3 linked regions of the Astyanax mexicanus genome follow. The protein of the gene in region 2 interacts with the protein of the main gene of each other region in a pairwise test. Links are inferred from orthologs where the notes say so. Each region holds a gene or a part of one and is shown on either strand. Other genes may lie near its edges.

What was found.
Region 1: the proteins of lipid droplet assembly factor 1-A (region 2) and cacfd1 interact in binary tests that used the Homo sapiens proteins (3 or more experiments, as listed by UniProt). The two-hybrid records come from large-scale screens. The link is inferred for Astyanax mexicanus from reciprocal best matches to the Homo sapiens genes LDAF1 and CACFD1.
Region 3: the proteins of lipid droplet assembly factor 1-A (region 2) and gad2 interact in binary tests that used the Homo sapiens proteins (3 or more experiments, as listed by UniProt). The two-hybrid records come from large-scale screens. The link is inferred for Astyanax mexicanus from reciprocal best matches to the Homo sapiens genes LDAF1 and GAD2.

The regions. Positions count from the first base shown.
Region 1 is NC_064424.1:25,766,844-25,774,397, forward strand, and holds the start of cacfd1 (calcium channel flower homolog), read left to right. Parts: upstream 1-4,462; 5' UTR 4,463-4,928; coding exon 4,929-5,049; intron 5,050-7,554. Other genes in the region: mob1bb (MOB kinase activator 1Bb), read right to left, coding at 1,733-1,746. UniProt on the Homo sapiens protein: Transmembrane protein which mediates synaptic endocytosis and fitness-based cell culling.
Region 2 is NC_064426.1:28,065,620-28,073,302, reverse strand, and holds the start of lipid droplet assembly factor 1-A, read right to left. Parts: upstream 3,054-7,683; 5' UTR 2,950-3,053; intron 2,425-2,949; 5' UTR 2,342-2,424; coding exon 2,315-2,341; intron 403-2,314; coding exon 234-402; intron 1-233. Other genes in the region: spag9a (sperm associated antigen 9a), read left to right, coding at 6,153-6,452. UniProt on the Homo sapiens protein: Plays an important role in the formation of lipid droplets (LD) which are storage organelles at the center of lipid and energy homeostasis. In association with BSCL2/seipin, defines the sites of LD formation in the endoplasmic reticulum.
Region 3 is NC_064413.1:51,300,763-51,308,075, forward strand, and holds the start of gad2 (glutamate decarboxylase 2), read right to left. Parts: upstream 3,093-7,313; 5' UTR 2,470-3,092; coding exon 2,400-2,469; intron 2,115-2,399; coding exon 2,052-2,114; intron 1,848-2,051; coding exon 1,698-1,847; intron 733-1,697; coding exon 499-732; intron 1-498. UniProt on the Homo sapiens protein: Catalyzes the production of GABA.

The DNA.
Region 1 (7,554 bases), on a different chromosome or scaffold from region 2:
TGTCTTCGGAGCCATATGCAACAGTCTCAGGTGAACTTTTTACTAAGCCTTTAGTTTCAGCCCAGCTTCACCTTAATGTCATTAATCTAGGCCTGTCACGATAACAATATTTCAGATACGATATATCATTGCAAAAACTATATTATTGTCATTTAAAGACAATGTAAATGCCACCGATATAAAAGAATATTATTCATAATAGAATAGCATTACAAAGCAATTATATTCGTTTAAAGACAATACATTTTAGACCTGGGTCTTTCTGTGTGGAGTTAGCAAGTTCTCCCTGTGTCTGCATGGGTTTCCTCCGAGTGCTCCGGATTCCTCCCACAGTCCAAAGAGGTCACGTTCAGACTAATTGGATATCGGATAAAATTGCCCCCTAGGTGTGAGTGAATGTGTCTGTGTTTGTCTGCCCTTGTGATGGACTGGCGGCCTGTCCAGGGTGTAAACTGCCTTCTGCCCGATGCCACCTGGGATAGGCTCCAGCCCCCCGCGAATAAATCGGTTGACGATGAGTGAGTGAGTGTTCTGGACATTTAAATGGAATTTAAATCCCACATTCAGCTGTTTATACAGTTTGGAAGCGATAAAGAAAGCAAGAAACAGGAGCCGTACTTATAGAAGGCAGAGATATGGTATAGAGAAATAATTGTTGACTAATCAGAAAAATAATTGTCAGATTAGTCGACTACCAAAATAATCATTAGTTTATTCGTTTTAAAGCTGAATTTGCATATGTCCAACTAGAGCTTAACCCCACTCAGTCAATGAACTTATAAAGAGTGTTTTAGGCCATACTGCTTCTTTAATCAGCTGCACTACAACAAAGCCAATCACATCAAACCTTGTTTACATGAATCAATTAATCAATTACAGGATACAGGTGTAGATGAAACAAAACCCTTTTTCTCTGCAGTAAAATAACATTTACATTCTGAGAATTTGAGGGCTTTGAAAATCACCTACAGGACACTTAGAGAAGCTGCCTGTTTTTTCTCTACTTTAGTTAATCAATTCAGAGAAGTGACAGTAAATAAACCTCAATTTTAGAAATAGACGTTAAAACTAGATAACCACAACGAAACTAAAAGGTTTGGAGACCATGATATTATTGATTTGCATTCAGGAAAATTTTACTCATTATACTGACAGGTTTTTAATTATTTCTATTACAATTAAAATAAAAATGTTGTAGTAACGTTTATTATCAAACATGAAACCTTTTTATGTAATGCTTCAATATAAGTCTTCAAGATTTAGGTGTGTAATATCAGGCAAAAAATTTATAAAAATCCTGGCCTGTTAAGGAGTTAACTAAACTAGGGTAGGTAAGTATATTGAACCTACACCACGAAAGTTGTGTTTCTTAAAGAAATAACGTTAACTACATTTAAGACAGCGCTCAAATTTTACATAAGATACAACAACCCAAACTCTTCTAGTGCTGATTACAATGCAGATATACATATAACGTTAGATAGGCAGACAGACAGTTATAGCTCAACATTTGTGTGTAAAAATGTGTAAATATTAGCTAGTTAGCTCTGTGCTAGCTCAGGGACTGTGGGTAGTGAGGCGAAGCTAACCAGCAGCAGAAGCTCAGCCGCTTGTTTTGCTAACGCTAATCGCTTCACTCAATAATAAGACAAACTCAAACGAAGCTAACTATCTGTCTAATATGACATTTTAACAACAGAAGAAAGCACTAACACCTGCCCACAATACTCACAATAAGAAGCTCATCCTCTTGTGTTAATGTTCTGCAGGCGGGGAGACTTCAGGCAGCTCCCAGCTCAGCTGCTGCTTCTTCTTCTTTAGGGGGTTTTATGGCAGCAGGCTGGTCTGGAGCGCCGCAGCTCCGCGGATCTACAAGCCATCTGCCCAGCCTGGGTGTGTGTCAAATCATTCACAGTGCGCCCTCGATCACTTCCCCTTAAAACAAGGCATTTATAAGATACGTTACCAAAGTGCTGTGCCTATACATGGGCCTATAGTGCTTTTCTCCCTCCCCAAAACACATTTTCTAAAAGCCATAATGATTATAATGTTATATTAAAATGTCACTGTTGATAAATTTGGGATGCACGGTATCTTGTTTTAGCTGCATATATTCTTGTATATTAAAGATGCTAATATATGCAAATATATTAAAGATGCTCAGTTGGGACATTTTGCTCGAGTTCTCTGTAAGGATCATCTTCATATGGCTACATACATCTGCTTTGTTCTTGCTGGAATGTGATGTTAAATGTTCAGATGTGATGGATCCATAAACCAATAGGGTAATGAAATGGTATATGTTTATACTTCTCATCCAACCACAATCAAATTCACAATCAAATTCTCTGCGGCTCCGATCATTGTGGCAGCGGGCTAAGCTGGTCGATCGCTAGTTCAGATTCCTTTATGTAGCTTATCATCAGCTGCCTGATCCCTGAGGGGGCACAGTTGGCCTTGCGCTCTCTATGGGTGGGTAGATGGCGCTCTCTCCCCATCACTCCAAAGGGTGACGTCACTCAGCACAAGGTGTCCGTGAGCTGATGTAAAAGAATCGCTGCACTAACCTCTGAGCATACTGGCTACTCGGCAAAACTGCATTAGCAGCAGTTCAAAAAGAGGCGGTTGTTCAGAGGAGGCATGTGGAGTTTGGAGGAGGCATGTGCTAGTCCTCATCCTCCTGGTGTTGGGGCATTACTAGTAATGGGAGAGTCCTAATGAGGGGGTTGGGTAATTGGCCTTGTACATTGGGGATTGGGGATTGTATGTAGAGATTTTTTTTGAACGAAAAAAGAGAAGCCAGAATTAAAACAAGCTGAAATGAAATAAAAGTAACAAGGCTACTTTTAAAATGTAAGTAGTAGAAAGTACAGATAATTGTGTGAAAATAAGGAGCAGAAGTAAAAAGTTATCTGAAAAAATATATAAAGTATAGATAAACAACATTTCTACTTAAGTAAGGTAAAAAAAGTATTTGTACTTGAAAACACCCCTGTTGCTGTTAAATAACCTGCTGATCAATCAAACACCATCAAATGAAAAGTTAAGCAGTTCTTACTTACTTCTTTTCTTACACCCAAACAGTAGTTCACTACATAGGGCATAAGGGATCGATTTAAGATATACCTAGTCCATTTTCGCTCTAAATCATGGGTTCAACTCTCTGTTTTCTACTAGATTGGGGCCTAGGGGGCGAATTCAAATACACACAGAACCTCTTAGGATGGTATACAGATTACTTGTGAGTCTATGGTAATGACAGTTCTATAAAACTATAAATTGTGCATGGGGAGTGTGCATCTGCACACACTTGTGCAGACACTGTCACAAATACATACTAAATTATTAACAAATACTAGTATTTATTATTATATAACATCACATAGACCCGTTTTGTTTCTGGGATTAGCAATTTAAATTAAAAAGGATTTTTTTTATACTTTATGTAATGAAATGCACAAATGAGTCAGTGTTCTTTAAGTAATGATTATTTTCTCTATATACTTACTGTAGATAAGATAAGAAAAATCTAAGATAAGAAAGATAGGAAAATTTAACTTGATATGATAAAATATCTATATATTGTCCAGCTTTAGTCCCATTTAGGCCCTATGTGCATTTGTAGTGTACAATCTACATGGAGGCAACCTATACCCAGGGAAACAGTACCATTCAAATGTGTGGAAACACCTTCTCATTGAATGTTTTTATTTTGTAAACTGTAAATGAATACTCAATCAACCAAACTATAAAGGAACACAGAAGAAATCATAAAAGTAAAGTGTTAAACAAACCAAAATGCTCTGTGACGCTATTAACTTGCAGCTTCTGAGACTGGTAACTCTGATGAACTTATCCTGTGCAACAGAAGTAACTCCTGGTCTTCCTTTCCTAGGGTGGTCCTGATGAGAGCCAGTTTCATCATAACATTTTGATGGCCTTTGTGACTGCATTAAAGGATACTTACAAAGTTCTTAAAATATTTCGAATTGACTGACCATTTCTTTTTTTTTCGTTACTTGAGTTGAGTAGTTTTTCAACGCACACAAACTTTACCTCTTCACAACACAACTGATGCTCTCCAATACATTACGAGGACAAGAAATTCAGGTAATTAACTCAGCACATCTGTTAACTGAAAACTATTCCAGGTGACTCCTAAAAAATAAAAACACTAAATTTAACTTTAATTTCACTGGCACTGTGTTATCTGGGTGGTGTTTGTTTGTTTATTTATTTATTTAGAACTTCATTACAAATATTAAAGAATTGTAAAATATTTTTTTGAAATTTGTCAATGTTTGAGATTGGTAAAAGTTAAAATGGTAAGTTCAGTAATTTATATTTAATTTGTGCTGAATTAAAACTAACATAAAACAAAGAAACAGAGCAGGTTTTACAACAGACTGCGCAAATGAGGTGGACCCTGAAGCCCGTGAAACAAATGACGTTGCAAAGCGACGTATCATAGACTCCGCCCCCACTGCAACGCAACCGAGGGAACCTCCGAGATAAGCGGCCAGACAATGGACCACTAAAATACACCGATACAACAGTTAAACTGGGGCTGTAGCTGCTCTGCTAGAGACAGAACCGGGTCAGAATTACAGCGGCGGACACGGCGGAGGGCGGAGGGCTCTGTGGCGGGGAAGTTGTGGGTTCGGTTCGGCTGTGTGTGTTGGTGTCTGTGTGATGATGATAAAGCAGGACGGGGGCAGATAGACAGATAAACAGCTCGGTATTCCTCACTTTTCCTTCCTCTGGATCTTCACCACCGGCTCCGGAGGCTCGTTAACGGACTGCCCGGCTCGCTGGCCCTCTCCCGGACCTGTCACTGGAGCTGTCCGCTACTTTAACTCGAGCCGCACCGGAGAAGGCAGGCATTGTGCGCGGCTGATCTGTGGCGGTGTGAATAATTAAGCAGTAAGATGAGCTCAGAGGAGGCCACAGCTCCCCCCAAAGCAGCAGCAGCAGCAGCCGCCGACGAGGATGGCATGTCCTGGTGGTACCGGTGGATCTGCAAAACCGCAGCTGTGCTGGGTGGCCTCGGTATGTGTGCTTCTTCTGACTTTTTTAAAAATCATATTACTAAAATATATATATATATATATATATATATATATATATATATATATATATATATATTTACAGCTCTGGAAAAAAATAAGAGACCAATTGCAAATGATGAGTTTCTTTGATTTTACCCATTTAAAATCCTCTGAAATTTAATCAAGCTGAAGATGGATGATTACAAGCCATCAAACCAAGCTGAACTGCTTAAATGTTTGCACCAGGAGTGGCATAAAGTTATCCAAAAGCAGTGTGTAAGACTGGTGGAGGAGAACGTGCCAAGATGCATAAAAACTGTGATTAGAAACCAGGGTTATTTCACCAAATATTAGTTTCTGAACTTTATGAATATTAACTTGTTTTCTTTGGATTATTTGAGGTCTGAAAGCTCTGCATCTTTTTTGTTATTTCAGCCATTTCTCATTTTCAGCAAATAAAATTGCCTGAAGGCTCACACGCTTGCCACACACGATTGTGTTAGCATTTGTTTTATCATATTTGTGACAGAAATATTGAACATTGGTGAAATGTGTGGCTTTTTAGGACACAACAGTTGTAACAGTTATGGTTACCCATAATTCGGCACATGTACAGTGCTAATTAAAACAAATATATTTGCAAAAATAATTCCTTTTTTATGTAGAAAAGAAGTGTTTCTGTGACGTTTGAGTGTGAGGTCACCAAAAAAGCTTCATTAGACAGATATAGACATAATCCCAAAAACATCTGCAATGTTGTCGCAGGTTCACACTACACAATTTTAGCCCAACCAACAATTTTTAATTGATCACTAAAAAATCGGTGATCACTCGGCGTTGCTCATCCTGTTGTGTGAACTATTGAAAGACGCTCACCAAGCCTGATCTCCGACCAGCCGCAGGTGCTCGGCAGATTTTAGGCATGCTAAATATCTGACCCAGTCGGCGACTGGGAGTCAGGAGCAGTGGCTACCCACAGCCAATGGGATCACAGAAAAAGAGAACCACAGGTTCAAAACACATCTTCTGCATGGCCAGAGCTGTTTATGGAAAGTCAGACCACTTTCTGTTTCCCTATAATATCAGTAAAATACTGTTAAAAAATAGACGGAGCTTGCGAGTGAGTCTTCTATTCATGGGGGTGAATTCTAAAAGCTAAATATTTTAATTAAAAATAGTGATTTACTGCTAAATACTAGTCTGAGTAAAGCAAAAAATGCATGCCTGTAGACTTCCATTTTTCTACAGCAAACGTAGTTTAGTCAGTAAAGACCCTAGCATTACTGCAATGAGCTAATTGGTTGTTTAGCTAGAGCACTGAGTTTAAAAAGCTTAGAACCGGAGTTTAAAACCTTAAAAAATGGTGTCCATGGTACTGAAACATTTGATATAGTTCTGTTTTGAGGACATAAGTACATATTTCAGGATAAAAATGCCCAAACATTTATAAACTCAGTCACATTTATTTTACTCAGTTGCTTTATAGGAACCCCTTCATGTTGGATGCATTGCGATTATTTTTTTACGGTTATTTTCCTCTATGGAAATTCTCTTTTTTGGAATCTTTAGTTTTGATGTGCGTTTAGTTCTGGCATGTTCTTATGATAAATGTGTTTCTGTAAGGTGAGTCTGCGATTTTCCACAATAAGAAATCTTGTATTTTGTAAAAAAATTTTACTGTAAAAACTGAAGCACTCATAATTACAGCACAACCAGTCACGTGTGAAGAACAAAACGAATGACAACTTAAAAAATCGTGTAGTGTGAATCTAGCTGAATCTAGGTGGAGTCAGACCCAACTACTCATTTTATAGGCCCGCCCCTTCTCCCAGAACAAATTTCAAACCGCCTATGTTGAGTTTATACTGCAGCCCAAAAGAGAAGGAAAGCAGTCAGCGTTTTTTTTACTGATTGGGTGAGGCGTGTGCAGAATTTTGTGGAAACTAATGCTAAGACAGTTAATATTGTGTTAAGATTTAATTTTGGCGTATTTGTTACTGAAATAAGAAAATTGGTGAAATGTGTGTCTTCAAGAAAGTACACATTTGAGTTCAGGCTTGTTTACAATGTGCCATTGCTGTAGGTGACACCAACTGTATATCATATGAATGCATTGGTTCCATTTCATTCCGTACTGTAGAAATTAACTTGAAATGAGAAATGAATTTCTTCGCCACTATGCCATAGAAGGCTGTTCCAAAGTTAAGTATCCTCTGAGAAATATACAGCCGAAAAATGCAGCCGACGTTCAGAGGTCGCAGCTGTCCTTTCCAGCTCCTGGTTATTCAAAAAGTCTCTGCGCATGTACAGTGCGAGTCAATCTTTATCTAAAAAAGGTGTGTAAATTGTAAATAGCACAGCTTCTGGATTTTTCCAGTGCTTTTGAAAAGAAACCGTAGCACCTGAGGGGTTTGATTTGTATGATTATGAAATTACTAAAATTAGGGATCCATTTTCAAATTATTACCTTCTCTTTTCCAAAATGCAGGGAATCACCATCATAAAC
Region 2 (7,683 bases):
CTGCAGGTAGGGCAGTTACAAAGAGACCCTCTTTGCTGATCACTGAGCAATTTAACACCTGTGTGACTCATGGAAAACTACAATAATACTAATATACTTGGCCAAATTTGAATGAGAAATATCAAAAGTGTGTTAAAAAGCAAATTACATTGTTTTAAAATATTAATCAGAGCAGTACTTATATTGCGACATTGGGGGTCCTACTCCACTTCAATATTCCACTTCTTACGTACCTTCAACAAACACGAAGGATACTGTAACAGCAATAGACGTAACAGCAGCAAATATCAGGAAAAGACCAATGGGAAGTGCAGATGTTACACCGAACACAAGCAGCACCACTGCTAAGAAGGGATGTTCACTGAGGTACTTCCCCAGCTTAGTGTTTAAGAGCTCCTCAACCTAAAAGAATGGAGATCAATACATTTATTTGCAGTGGCTGTGGTTAACGGGTATGTCCAAACTAGAGATATCTTAAATATCTAGTATACGTACTACCCAGAATTCATTTGCAAATTTTTTACTGTCTCATTTACTGTTTTTACTGTCTGAATTACAGTGTAGATACACTATGCTGCCAAAAGTATTCGCTCACCCATCCAAATCATCAAACTCCTACTCACTACTAAATATTCCACAGCCAACTGTCAGTGATATTATAACACAGTGAAAAAGACTGGGAACGACAGTGACTCTGTGCTCTGTCAGTGTAAAATAACAGAGCGGGGTCAGCGGATGCTGAGGAGCATAGTGCACCTCCAAATTTATTGTGGCCTTCAGATCAGCTCAAGAACAGTAGAGTGTAGAGAGCTTCATTGAACAATTGGTTTCCATGGCTGAGCAGCTCCATCCAAACCTCACAGCTCTAATTATTAACACGGGTGAGTGAATACTTTTGGCAAGATTTGGAAAAAATTCAGTTTCTACCAGTTATAAAGTAGTAATAAGATATCTGTAAGTGGACACAACGTAAGAGAAAATGAGGCTCTGTGTACATCAATAATCATAAACATTGTAAGCCTGGATAAGTTTAATTAGGAAACCGGTTGACTTAAGATCTTAAAGTAATGTTAACTGAACACTTGAGTTAATTAGACCAAAATCTTTTTGTTATTATGCCTAATTTAAAAGTACATTTCATTTATTTTTATTTTTTTGCTCAACTATCAATTGACACATCCAATATCAATTGACAATTACATGTCAATTGTTTTGCACAATAATTTGAAGCAGATCTATAGAGAGGACAGTATAGTGCACAACTAATACAGAGTCAGCAGCTCCAAAAATGGCAGCATCTCCAAAAGTTCTTACAGCCTATAACACACAAACCTGACAGTTAATCATAATATATTATCTACAAGTTTACCTAAGGTCCTGGGGGGTGGTGTCAGAAACTGGGGGGGACACCCAGAATGCAAATACATTCTGCCAGAAGCCAATGAAAAGAAAAGAAGCTGCCAATGGCAAGAGACTAAACTTAATTATTATTAAGTTGCTTCAACTCAAAGATCTCTGTTTGAATAGTTAAGTAATATTTGGAACTATCCAATTTTACATAAAACAGACTTAATTTGTTTGAGTTCAATCTAACTGTGGGTTTACAGCATATAACTAGTGAGAATTACAGGATATACAGCTCTGGAAAAAAAAAAAGTTTCTCTGATTTTGCTATTTATAGGTATTTGTTTGAGTAAAATAAAAATAGTTGTTTTATTCAATAAACTTCAATAAATTTCTCCCAAATTCCAAAAAAAGTATTGTTATTTAGAGCATTTATTTGCAGAAAAGGAGAAATGGCTGAAGTAACAAAAAAGATGCAGAGCTTTTACACCTCAAATAATGCAAAGAAAACAAGTTCATATTCATAAAGTTTTAAGAGTTCAGAAATCAATATTTGGTGGAATAACCCTGGTTTTTAATCACAGTTTTCATGCATCTTGGCATATTTTTCTCCACCAGTCTTACACACTGCTTTTGGATAACTTTATGCCACTCCTGGTGCAAAAATACACGCAGTTCAACTTGGTTTGATGGCTTGTGATTCCAGAGGTTTTCAGTTTGGTAAAATTAAAGAAACTCATAATTTTAGGTGGTCAATTTTTTTTCCAGAGCTGTTTCATCTTGTTGATTTGATTTGATTTTATCACTAGTAAACATTTCATAGATTGTATCCTAAATAAGAGCTTCTACTATTATCAACTACAGTATATAATAAATATCTTGAATTCGAGCTTTTACCAGACAAATCTGAGTTAGTATTTTTATCACTGGTCTTAATTTAGGGTAAATCTACTGTATAAAGATATCTCACCCTTGGGTCACAGTGTAAATTCTCCATGATGGTGTGAAGTTTCCCTGGAGCTCCAGCGTCCCTGTAGGCAGCAGAGGTTCATTGCCACCCTGCCCTGTCCTACACCTACACTGGGTGGCAAGGACAGAGCAGTCAGACAGCTTGTATATAACAGTACAACATACAAAATGAATATATCTGCAGCTGTAGACCATGACATGTGTCTTTAACTAAATATTTAATGGTTTAATTATTAGTTAGTTGGTTAGTTGTGGGGCTGTGTTGCTTCTGCTGTTTGTTACCTCACTACCTGAAGAAGAAGAAGCAGCTGCTGCAGCTGAGATTACACAGTTTAACTAGCTACAAACCAACTCATTATTTTAGTAAAAGTTTTGCAATATTCACTCTACCCAGACCTAACCATTGCTCCTAGCTAACAATGTAGCCAGCTAATGCAAAATTAAACTCTTTAACAACAAGCAAATCCGACAATAACTTATATAGCTTGCTTGCTAGCTAACTCAAAAAGGTAACAAGGTAGGTTATTTATCTGACCAGCCTGGGTGTTACAGTCAATAACCTGGCTAAACGTTCCCTTAAGCACCATGTTATTAGTCCAGACTGTAATGTTTTAATGAGTAAAGTAATCCAGGTACCTGTTGATTCCATTAAAACCGACACTTCCTTTCTTTAGAAACAAACGTGAGTTTGAAACTGGGTTGCCAGATATCCACGCTGTACAATACAGCTGTAAGTAGGTTGTGTACAGAGGGGGCGCCACGTACTGTATTATTTCAATCAACCTTTATTTTCAACTTCTAAAAAAAAGGGTTCATAACCAAACTATAAAAATGAAATGGCAAAGGCATTAGAAAAAGAAACAAACAATTATGATTTAATTAAGAAAAAATTAAATAATTCAGAATAAAAGGACATAATAAAGTTGACAGGCTCAAATTTTAAAGCAGTCAAATAAAGATAAATAATTAGAGCAATAGCAAAATAAAATAACAAACACAAACAAAAAATAATATGACAAACATTTATAAAGATTATAAAAAGGGTAAAGGGTATCAATAAAAAAGGTCAAACAGAAAATAAAATAAATATAAGGGAGAAATAAAAAGGTAAAAACAAAAAAAATAAAAATAAACAAATAAATAAACTAAAAATTTAATTAAAATTTTAAAATAAAATAATTAAAATGAAGAAATAAGAAAAAAAATATAAAGGACAAAAGGTAAATCTAAAATAAATAAAATAAATAAAAGAAGTATGTCTAATAGTACTTAGAAATTAAAAGTTTAACATGATTCCTGTAGTCTATGCCTAGAATTACTTACAAATTAACTACTTACTAATTAACTAGTCTCCTTTACAGTAACTACTCATTAATAAAAAAACTATTACATTCCACCTACAGATTTAAATCAACATACTTCAATATTGCAAAATAACTTTAATGTCCCAATATCTTGAATATGTTGAAGGCCTAAAATGCATAGATGGATGTTTATTAATAAATGAAATGAAGCTGAACAGAAAAAAAAATACTGTATTTGCAATGAACAAAAAAAGTAAGGAAATCCAAGAAACACAGTATTTTGTATTTTCATTTTCCATATTGTCCTAAACTTTTCTGCTTTGGCGTTGTAAGTTCTTTATACATTTTATGATCTTCCTCTTCCAAGGAACATCTGGCAACCATTAAATCTGGCAACTGGTAAATCTGACGTGTCCCGAGCTTTCTCTGTAGCACTGTAGGTCCGCTTAGTTTCTCAATTTTGTTGCAGATATACTTTGTTCCTGATATGAAAACAATGTGGTTTGGCTTATTAATAAAATATTATGTCGACCCCCTCCACCCACCACCACCAATACAGTTTTCATTCTATTTGGAGATGTATTGGACTACAAAATGTAAATCTTACCAGGATGCAATTCAGAATTTTTTTTTCATTTTTACAAACAATTTGCACTTTATTTTGTCTCTAAAATAAAAATAACTTTAAAATAATAAAATACCTTTCAGTGAAGTTGTAAAGTTGTTTGCAAATTTGAAAAAGTAAGTGGCAATCTGTAATATATTTATTATTATTTATACAGTTTATAAAGCTGGCACTGTTCATAACATTGTTCTTAATATTGTAACAATCATTTTCAAATTTTTTAAAAACGCCAATCATTTGTACACCTGTTAATTTTTTTAAACAGTTTGTAACTGTTTTGTAAATCTATTACCATGTATAATGCTCTGCACAGCCTGTAGAAATTATTTAACAGTTTGCTCTAGTTTGTGACAACAGGCAAAGTTATTCCAGTTTGTATCATCCAGGAGAGAAGTAACAGTAAAAAAAATAGAATTGTTTCAGCTGTATAATTACACATCGTAACAAGTCTGAAATCCACTGTTACAGCTTAGAAAATTGTTACAGCTGAATGTTACAAGCTAGGGCAGCTTTTGAACTTGAATAATTGTTACAATTGTTACAACTGTTTTAATTTGTATCAATTTGCAAAGCTGCTCCAGCTTGTAAAATCCAGAAAGGTAGTAACAATTCGCAATATTGTTACATTGGTTTTGAAAGCTGTTACAGTTTCTAACAGTTAATCTGTTACAATTTGCAAAGCTTCTGTAAGAGTGTGCCATATAATATCATATGCAATAATATTACCAATGTTTTTCAATATTGCTAACAATATTATATCCTGAAATATCGTCTGAAATATCTCCCACCCCCAATTATCACATTAAGGTCCTAATTTTCTGCTGTTTTTAGCAAAAGACAAATTCATATAATTTATATTACTTTAATTTAATTTTCGTCTTGGATATATGGAGATATTTGGAGTGCATTATTATTAGTATCATGACATTCTGGAGTATTATTGACTTGCTACAAATCTGATAAAATTGTTGTATTTTTTTAATATCTCAGTTAGGGGTGTGCCATATGATATTGTATGCAATGATAAAATTTAATTTTCATTTTGTTGCAGTAGTGTATTTTTGACGTATTTTTATTTAATTAAATGTTTTGTCATATCAATAACAAAAGTATTGTTATCGCAAAAATACCATGAAATATCGTGATATTATTTTAAGGACATATCGCCAACCTCTACCTGTAACAGTGATTTTCAAAACTGTTACAATGTGTAATTGTACAGCTGGAACAATTGTTTTAGAATTAAATTAAACAAATTCTCAAAGTTCTGTTACTTTGGGTTTGTAAGATGTTATGATTTTAAACAATTTGCATGACTAATTTAATTTAAATCAGTTTGCAAAGCTGCTTCAACAGCTAGGCCTATTTATGGTTGTGATATTCCTTTAAAAAACGGGACTTCTCTCTGATACTCAGTCAGCTGAGGGATGGATGGTTAGCTTCTACTGTATGTGACACGTAGACCGAGCTCTCCAGCACCGCTAAACCGGTAAGAGTCTTCTGGAGAGGCTAAATTTAAGCTAGACACGGTCTGGAGGCTAAAAACAGCCATAAAGAAACAGGGAGACAAACAATGCTGTTCATTTGAATGGTGAACGCCGTGCTGTGTTGTATAGTGAGGAGGGCGTGACGTCACCAGCTCCCTGGTTCTGGTCAACAGCTCGGCCGTTGTGAGGAGAGAGAGGGAGACGGCGGAGGAAAACACGGAGAAAGAACGCAGAAAGACGGGGGAAATCGGGGAAAACAGGCAAGCCTGGGGACGGAAAAGTAAGACCAGGCTCTTTCCCTTTCAGTATCCGCCCGTTTTGAGCCGTTCTCGGCGTTTTAGAAGGAGTTTAACTGCGCCCGCCCGGAGCTTCGAATCTAGGGCACGTCAGTAGCGGCGAAGGGACTCGAGGCAAGCCGGGAAAATGGAGCTGGAGGACGGCGTGGTGTACCAGGACGACACGGGCACGGCGGCTATGATGTCCGAGCGGGTGTCGGGCCTGGCCAGCTCCATCTACCGCGAGTTCGAGCGCCTCATCGGCAAGTACGACGAGGACGTGGTGAAGGAGCTGATGCCGTTGGTAGTGGCCGTGCTGGAGAACCTGGACTCGGTGTTCGCGGAGAACCAGGAGCACGAAGTGGAGCTGGAGCTGCTGAAGGAGGACAACGAGCAGCTCATCACGCAGTACGAGCGGGAGAAAGCGCTGAGGAAACACGCGGAGGAGGTGAGCGGAGCAGGCCGGGCTATAGTTAACTATAACAGCCCAGAAGCATCCTCCCTTAGCTACCTAACTACCGAGTACTGAGTACTAAATACTGACTGAGTACTGAGCACTGAGTACTGAATACTGACTGAGCACTGAGTACTGTCTAAATACTAACTGAGTCCTGACTAAATACTGAGTACTAAATACTGACTGAGGACTGAGTATTGAATACTGACTGAGTACTGAGTACTGTCTAAATACTAACTAAGTACTGACTAAACACTGAGTACTAAATACTGACTGAGTACTGAGCACTGGGTACTGAATACTGACTGAGTACTGAGTACTGTCTAAATTCTAACTGAGTACTGACTAAATACTGAGTACTAAATACTGACTGAGTACTGGATGCTAAATACTGACTCAGTACTGAGTACTAAATACTGACTGAGTGCTGAGTACTTGATACTGAGTGATTACTGAGTATTGTGTACTGACTGAGTACTGAGTGAGTACTGAGTACTGACTGAATACTGACTGAGTACTGACTGAGCGCTGAGTACTGACCGAATACTGATTACGGACTGAGTATTGACTGAGTACTGACTAAAGGCTAATTTATACTTCTGCGTCTATGCCGTAGCCTTTGCCGTAGCTTGACGTGCACCTCACTGGAAATGTAACTATGTGTCGTGCATGCAGACAGCTGCAGCTGTGATTGGTCTGCCGATCTTCGAGTCCCCTCCCACACATTCCCGCCTTCATGGTTTCAAAATATAGAGCGACGCAGAACCGATGATCCACTCTCGCTGGATGACATGTAGGCTATGGCTTAGGTTTGACGCAAAAGTATAAATTGAGTTTGAGTAGTGAGTACTGACTAAGTACTGGCTGAGTAATAAGTACTGACTGAGTAATGAGTACTGAATGAGTATTGAGTACTTACTGAGTACTGACTGAGTACTGATGCTACTTGCAGCCTGAGCTCAGCCTCATTGTGTTGTTGCTGCAGCTGCTTACTGCCCCCAGCACCCCCATCACCCCCGCCGCCTCCACCTCCTCCAGACCAGGCCTGCTCTCACAAAGCCCCGGCTCTGTGTGGCTCCCTGAGCTTAATTCAGTGTTTACTGGTGTGCAAAAGAAATTCAGCATATATATGTGTGCGATATGGCTCTACAATAATATCACAATATTTTGCAAAAACATTGATATTTAAAAAAATAATAATTTAAAGAATTTACTATTTTAA
Region 3 (7,313 bases), on a different chromosome or scaffold from region 2:
ACACACATGTGTTATCATATACGTTTATATATAATAATCCAATAAAAATATAATGACCATTTCAGACCTTGCGTCCATTGCAATTGAGAAAATCGGTTTTCTTATTTCTTGTGTATTTTTGCACTTATTACACACTGAGGCCTGTTGTCCAACAGAATTAACATTTATCAGCCAATCAAACAGCAGCTTAGCCCCGCCCACTGCATTGCACAAAATCAAATAATCATGTTGAGTTCTTTTTACCGCTTTGGGATGATTTTTGAATAAAAAAAAAGCTAAATAAAATTTATATGAAATACAAACGAGAATGCTACACAAATGATTACACTGCAATTAACAAAAATACAAATAATCTATATTTTAGTATGAATCACTGGAACATAATTCAGCTCTGAAAGGAATAATATAAATCAATAATTCTACAAATAGGCTATACGATATATATATATATATATACAGTATATAAAATATAAAAAGGGCTTCCAGCATTTCTCCTACCGGTTTTAATGGCGTATTTTAAGGTGGCTCGGCAGCTGATCAGAATATCATCCAGGGTTTCCGGTTCGTCCGAGAGCTCCCAGTTGTTCCGCTGGAGCAGCTCGTTCGGATAGTGGAAATCGATCACCTTGGTGGATCGATCGAAAGACTCCACGATGTAGGCCAGCAATATATCCACCACCTCCTGCAGGAAATTCATCGTCTTCATATCGCCGTCCAGCGCGGGGAGCAGGTCTGTACCGAACCCAGATTATTATAACGATTATTATATGATAATAAATACCATCAGAAAAGAACATCGGCGAAATGTGTTGAATTAATGATAAACGGCAATCTCAGTTTTAGCAAAATCAGTTTTGGTTTTAAATAAATCAAATAAGTCAAATAAATGAATAATGCTTTACCAAAAAATCCCAAATCATCAGGATTTATAAAAAACAAACCCAAAAAATCTCATATCAGTTAAAAAAAAAAACATATAATTTACAATCATTTTCTTTCTTAAACTGTACATCTAATCACGTATTAATGATCGTTAATCATTAATAATTACCAGTAAGACATAAATATAAAACAAATGCATAAATAAATGAAACATTTAAACAACAGGAGCCCCATTATAACGCGAATGAAAAAAAATAAAACACACATGCATGCATTTAGTTGGTAGGCTTTATACATTATTATACATTATTATTAATACATATCTATTTCTAGACACACACCCGCACGCACGCAGACACGCACACACACGCGCGCATTCACACACACACACACAGACACGCACGCGAGAGCACACACATACACACATGCACTGTACTTTAAGATGTATGCTACGTTCTGTGTATATAATGTTGACTTCCTTTTTAGAATATATATAAATACATATATATAGAAAATATAAATATATTCTTGTTTTTTTTTTTCAAAGGAAAAACAGGCACTTTTTACAGAAAATGACGGGGAAATTAGTAAATAATAAATACACACATAAACACAGAAATAAATACAAAATAAAACCCCCAAATAAATATACATTAAAACAGACAAATGTTGCACTATACATAAAGCTTAATAATAATTTCGCTAGATATGGCCATGACCTTGCGTGATGTGTAGGTTAGCTTGGCTAATCCGGCTGCATCCAAAAAACGAAAAAGAAAAAGGAAAATAATAATACATCCCAGAATAATGTTTACCTGTTGAATAGAGGTGAGAGAAGCCCACCGTGGCTTTGGAGCAGATGCATGGTTTATCACTGCAGCTGCAGCTCTCCGCCAGAGGGTCTTCTCCCTGTTTAGCTGCAGAGGGGTCTGCGCCCTTCTCCATCTCCCCGACATTCAGCAGCGCTTCAAATTAACGTTACATTATATTATTTTATTTTATATACTTTTTTTTCTTCACAATTTGATATATAAATATTTAAATTTGTGATGTAGGCCTATAAATACACTAAATATATATAAGAACCACAATAAAAATGTCACTACTATTTTATATAGTCTTATAATAAAGATTAGCGCCTCTTTTTGGTGATAAATAAATGATCTTACCACATAATTTCGAGCCGATGCCTCCTCCGAATTTTTGGGCCGCCGCTTGGCACCAAGCCCGAGCTAAAGCGAACGAGAAAAATAGATACAAAAATATTAAAATCTGAATTTTAGATTGTAAGAAACGTAGTAACTAACGTTATTTCTGGTCGAAAAAATAAGGGACGTATTTAAAAACTCTTTAAACAATTTAAACACCTTAAAAAACGAATAAAACACGAAATAAACGCTTTAGCGCTGTTTTAAGCATTTTAAGCCTTTATGCTTCCTGTTTTGGATCCTTATTATATATATTTTTATTTTTTTGTTATAAATCATTAGCTAAAAATTAGCCTCCGCTGTACTCACGCGTGCTCGAGCCGCTGTTGTTGTCTCCCGCGTTCTGGGCGCCCAGAGACCAAAAGCCGTGCGAAGCCATGGCGCGAAAACGACGCTGTCTGCGGCTAGGAAAGATAAACCGAGCCCATCCAGGGGTGATGGAGGGAGGGAAGAGGACAAATAAAGGGGGAGAGGAGGGGAGAAAAGGGGGGAACGGCGCGGGAAGCTCCGCTCAGGTCCTCGCTGGATGTTGGATGCTGGTGTTGCTGATGCTGTTGCTGCTGTAAAAAGCGCAGCTGCGTACGCGAGCGCGCGTGCATGCAAAACAAATCTGACGCACAGAAGCGAAGTGAGCGTGCTTTTCTTTTTCCCAATCCCGGCGCTGCGCAATAAAAGTCCACACGCGCCACCGGTGCGCCCTTTCTCGCCTTGCCTTTTTTATTACGCAGCGCATGCACGCCGCCGCCTCTCGCGCACGCGACGGTGGAGCTGCGCAGCTCTCCGGTCACTGCATGCTTCCAGAGAGGTGCTGCCGGAGAGACCCTTGCACGAGCGCGCACGAGCTGTGCGGGGAGGTGGGGAGAAAGAGAGAGAGCGGGAGAGAGTGCGAGTTTGCGCGCCCGCGAGCCGGATTAAGGCTTTGCTTAATTTATTTTTTTGCAGGTCGCATCATAATCCAGCGTGCGTGGAGGGAAAAAAGTAGGACGCACTAACGGTGCACTAATGTTAGAACCCCGTACCTACCCTCCCACTTCTCCCCCCACCCCCCACACCCACGCACACAAATTCCAGCATGATTCACTTCTCGTGACGACCCGCTCTGCGTCCCCGAGTCGTGCGTGACAGTTCCTGGCCCCTCCTGGAGCCCTCGTGGCGCACGGCTTAGCTCGCGCCTGTGCGCAATTTTAGCTCAAGATGGTCAAAGTACATAAATATATAAATATGTGTGCATGTGTGTGTATATAATTTTGGGGTGGGTAGGCAAGTAGGTTGGTGGGATGGGGGGCTGGATGGGGGGCGTTGAGTAGGGGGGTGGGGTTGGGGGGTAGAGGGTTAGGGTGGAACCCAAATCCTCTCTCTCTGTTATGCTGGTGAAAGCAGAGCTCTGCTGGTTTTGCGTCTACAGATATGCGGGTATTTCTCTGCAGCTGCGTGAATAATGCGCAGAAAGCCTAAAAAAAAGCCCTTTAAGGAAATAAATGGTGGGAGAGCAACATCTAAGAGTGTGCATTGCAATATATATGTATATATACAGCTTTGGAAAAAAAATGAAGAGACCTCTTATTCTCTAATCTACGAACAACATTCCTCCTAAATTACAAATAAAAATATTATCATTCAGAGCTTTTATTTGCAGAAAATGAGAAATGGCTGAAATAACAAAAAAAGATGCAGAGCTTTCAGACCTCAAATAATGCAAAAAAAAACCAAGCTCATATTCATAAAGTTTTAAGAGTTCAGAAATCAATATTTGGTGGAATAACCCTGTTTTTTTAGTCACCGTTTTTAATGCATTGTGGCATGTTCTCCTTCACCAGTCTTACACTGCTTTTAGATAACTTTATACCACTCCTGGTGCAAAAATTCAAGCAGTTCAGCTAAGTTTGATGGCTTGTGATCATCCATCTTCCTCTTTATTTTCCAGAGGTTTTCAATTGGTAAAATCAAAGAACCTCATCATTTTTAAATGGTCTCTTATTTTCCAGAGCTGTATATATGCATGATATACTATTTATGATATATATGATAATGATAATTGGGGTCAGGTTTTTCTTCACTATATAAAGGAAAACCAGTTTCCTTCCTTCCCTCCTTTCCTCCTATACCCCTCTATTTCCATTTGGCCTCCTTTAGGCCCTGCCTAAAATGTTTTGTTTGTATTGAACTTCTATGTCATCTGTTGCTAAATGTACATCATTATTTGTAAGTCGCTTTGGATAAAGAGTCCGCTAAATGTAATGTAATGCAATGTTATTAAAGTCAGGGGTCCTAAAGAATATATATTATACAGCAAAATCAACAGCTTTTTAAGCACATACCACTACACAGTACATTGCTACATTAAAGGCATAGCCCACACAAAACAATCTAAATAATAAAATGTAAAAGAATCTGAACATTAACTGTTATGTTTAAACATCAGTGTATTGAGATTCACTGCATGGTTATCTGAATTAACTGTAGAAGTACTCATATATGGGAGCAACACTCAGTTTCAATATATTATTCACATTGTCCTTTCCACCTTAAAATATATTTCCCTTCCACCTTAAAATGGTGCATGCATGATATTGACCTGTAGTATATGTTTTATATACTTTAAGACTTTTTTTATACATTTCTGCTTACATTATGTGCAGAAATGACAAACAGTCCATATAAACCTAAACCTGGATTCTTATTTGCATGATCTGTTCCACCTTAAAAGCCAAAGATGTTTATTTCAAAGTGCCTACAAGCCAAAAGCTTGTCTGTCAGGACAGCAGTATTTAAAGTGGAATTGTAAATTTACTGATGGCAATTAGCAAGTATATGTAAAAAAGCTAGGTAGCATCTACTTTTATTTAGTGACAGTTACAATGTTAATGAAGAAGCAAGCCAGGTGACTAAAAATATTAGTGAAGCAAGAGATAACAAGGTATGATCTATTTTAGGGGTATTTTAAATTGTATTACGATATTATTACGATATTTCCAGGCATGGATATTGTAAATTTAATATGTAACATTTAACATTATTGGTAAGTAACATGAAACATAACTGTTTTTATTTTTTTTACATAAAAGCTTTGTTAGAACACACTTTTTGCACCCATGTTTTGCAGAATGTTAAAAGTTAGATGTTTTACCTTCTTCCAGTTGCTTCCAAAATTCATCAGGCTTGTTTAGATGCTCCTTTAAGAACCTCAGGTGCTGAACTTTGTAGTGATGAAGACACAGTAAAGCCTTTTTTTTTATGACATTTTGGTGATCATAGTCCAGAGCCTGATCAATCTTCCTGAAGTCTTCCTCCAGGCCTTAACTTAAAACTTAGGAAACGACTACTTAAAAATAGCTTTGCTAGGCTGTGTGTCAGAGCCACACAGTACACACACAGAACAGCCATTTTTCCCTTTGCATTGCAGTGCATATGTGCGGAGAACTGTGCATAACCAAAGGCTGCAAGAAAGGATACATCAGCTGCGTCCTTTTTTTAATGCACCCTTAAAACCATTCCAAACCCAAGCTCTTAGGAATAGCCAAGAATTTGTTCTTAGCCTTATAGGGTATGTTCTTAGTGCTGGAGAGTTGCAGCTACTTAGAGGAGCTCATGGCTGCTGATTGTTGTAATTGACATCACCTGTGAACAAGCCACAGCCCTAGCCAGCTAATTAAGCCTTTCAGTAAAAGTAGCCTGAGAGCTCAAATCTCTCATGTGCCCAAAGCTTTGCATTCTGCTCCTTTATTTTCTTTTTTTAGCTCTAAAATTTTACAATAAATGAACAATTATACAATAATCTTGTGGAAAATCTTCTATAAAAAATTATTATTCACAGTAAAACAACAATTTAACCAGCAACCATATAGCAGCCACCTAACAGCACCCTAGCAATCACCACAGATACCAAAGCAAGTCTTTAGCAACCATGTAGCAACCACTAATCAACACCCTAGCAACCTCCTAGCAACACCGTAGCAATCACCACTGATACCATAGCAACTCCTTAACAGCCACCTAACAACCATTTAGCAACCTCATAGCAACCATCACAAATTTCATTACATTACCTTAGCAACCAGTTAGCAACAACATATCAACCACTGGGGATACCACAGCAACCACCTTACAACACCTTAACAATCTTAACGATCATATGAGCCATGTTAGCTATGCATTCATCATCCACCACTTAACAACACCTTGGCAATCACCTAGCAACACCACAGCAATCACCATGGACACTTATCAACACCATAGCAAGACTACCAACCACTTAGTAACCATGTAGCAACCACCTAGGAATCACCTAACAGCACCCTGGAAATCATCACAGATACCATAGCAACTCCTTAGCACCATAGCACCATAGCACCATAGCAAAACACCTACCAACCACTTAGCAACCATGTAGCAACCACATAGCAACCACCTAACAGCACCCTAGAAATCACCACAGATACCATAGCAACTCCTTTGCATCAATGTAGCAACACCTTAGCAACCACAGTACTTGGATTCATTATTTTAATTGCCTGACAACACTATTCAAATAGTAAAAATCCTAAATGTGATGAAAAAAACAGAAAATTAAATCACCAAATTTGCTAAAAAAAAGATTTTATCTGGCCCTAGTAGTGCACCACATCAGTTATTGTAATGTTCTGAGAGATTTTTTTTTGTTTACCAAAAATGTAACAATTGTACATTCATTTTGTGTAAAATGTGGAAATAATACATTTTATCTTTCTTATCTTATATATTTTGATTATTCACAGTAACACAACAATTTAACCATAACCTTCTTTGTATAAATCTGTATGTTTGACTCTCTATCCTCAAACACACTCCCACTCCACTTGAGAGCCACTGTGTTTTAGGGTCTTGCGTTGTCTTTTTGTCAGATCAAATCCCAAGTTATTGCCCTGTCACTGTGAATTATGGGATACTGGGAGTAAAACAGTGGAGACATGGCCTCTTTCTCTCTCACAAATAAAGAAAAAGCAGTAACTCCAAAAAAGATCCAGTACAATCACAACAAATTCAATAGTTAGCCGATAGGCTATTTATCCATTTTTGGTTTCAAATTAAAAGCCCCAGGGCAGAAAATCTAAAAGAACACCATAGCAACCACCACACAAAAAAGACTTCTGCATCACTTTAGCAACCAGTTAGTAACAACAAAGCAACCACCTGGGATAGAATAACAACCACCTAACAATACCGTAATGATCTTAGCGATCGGGG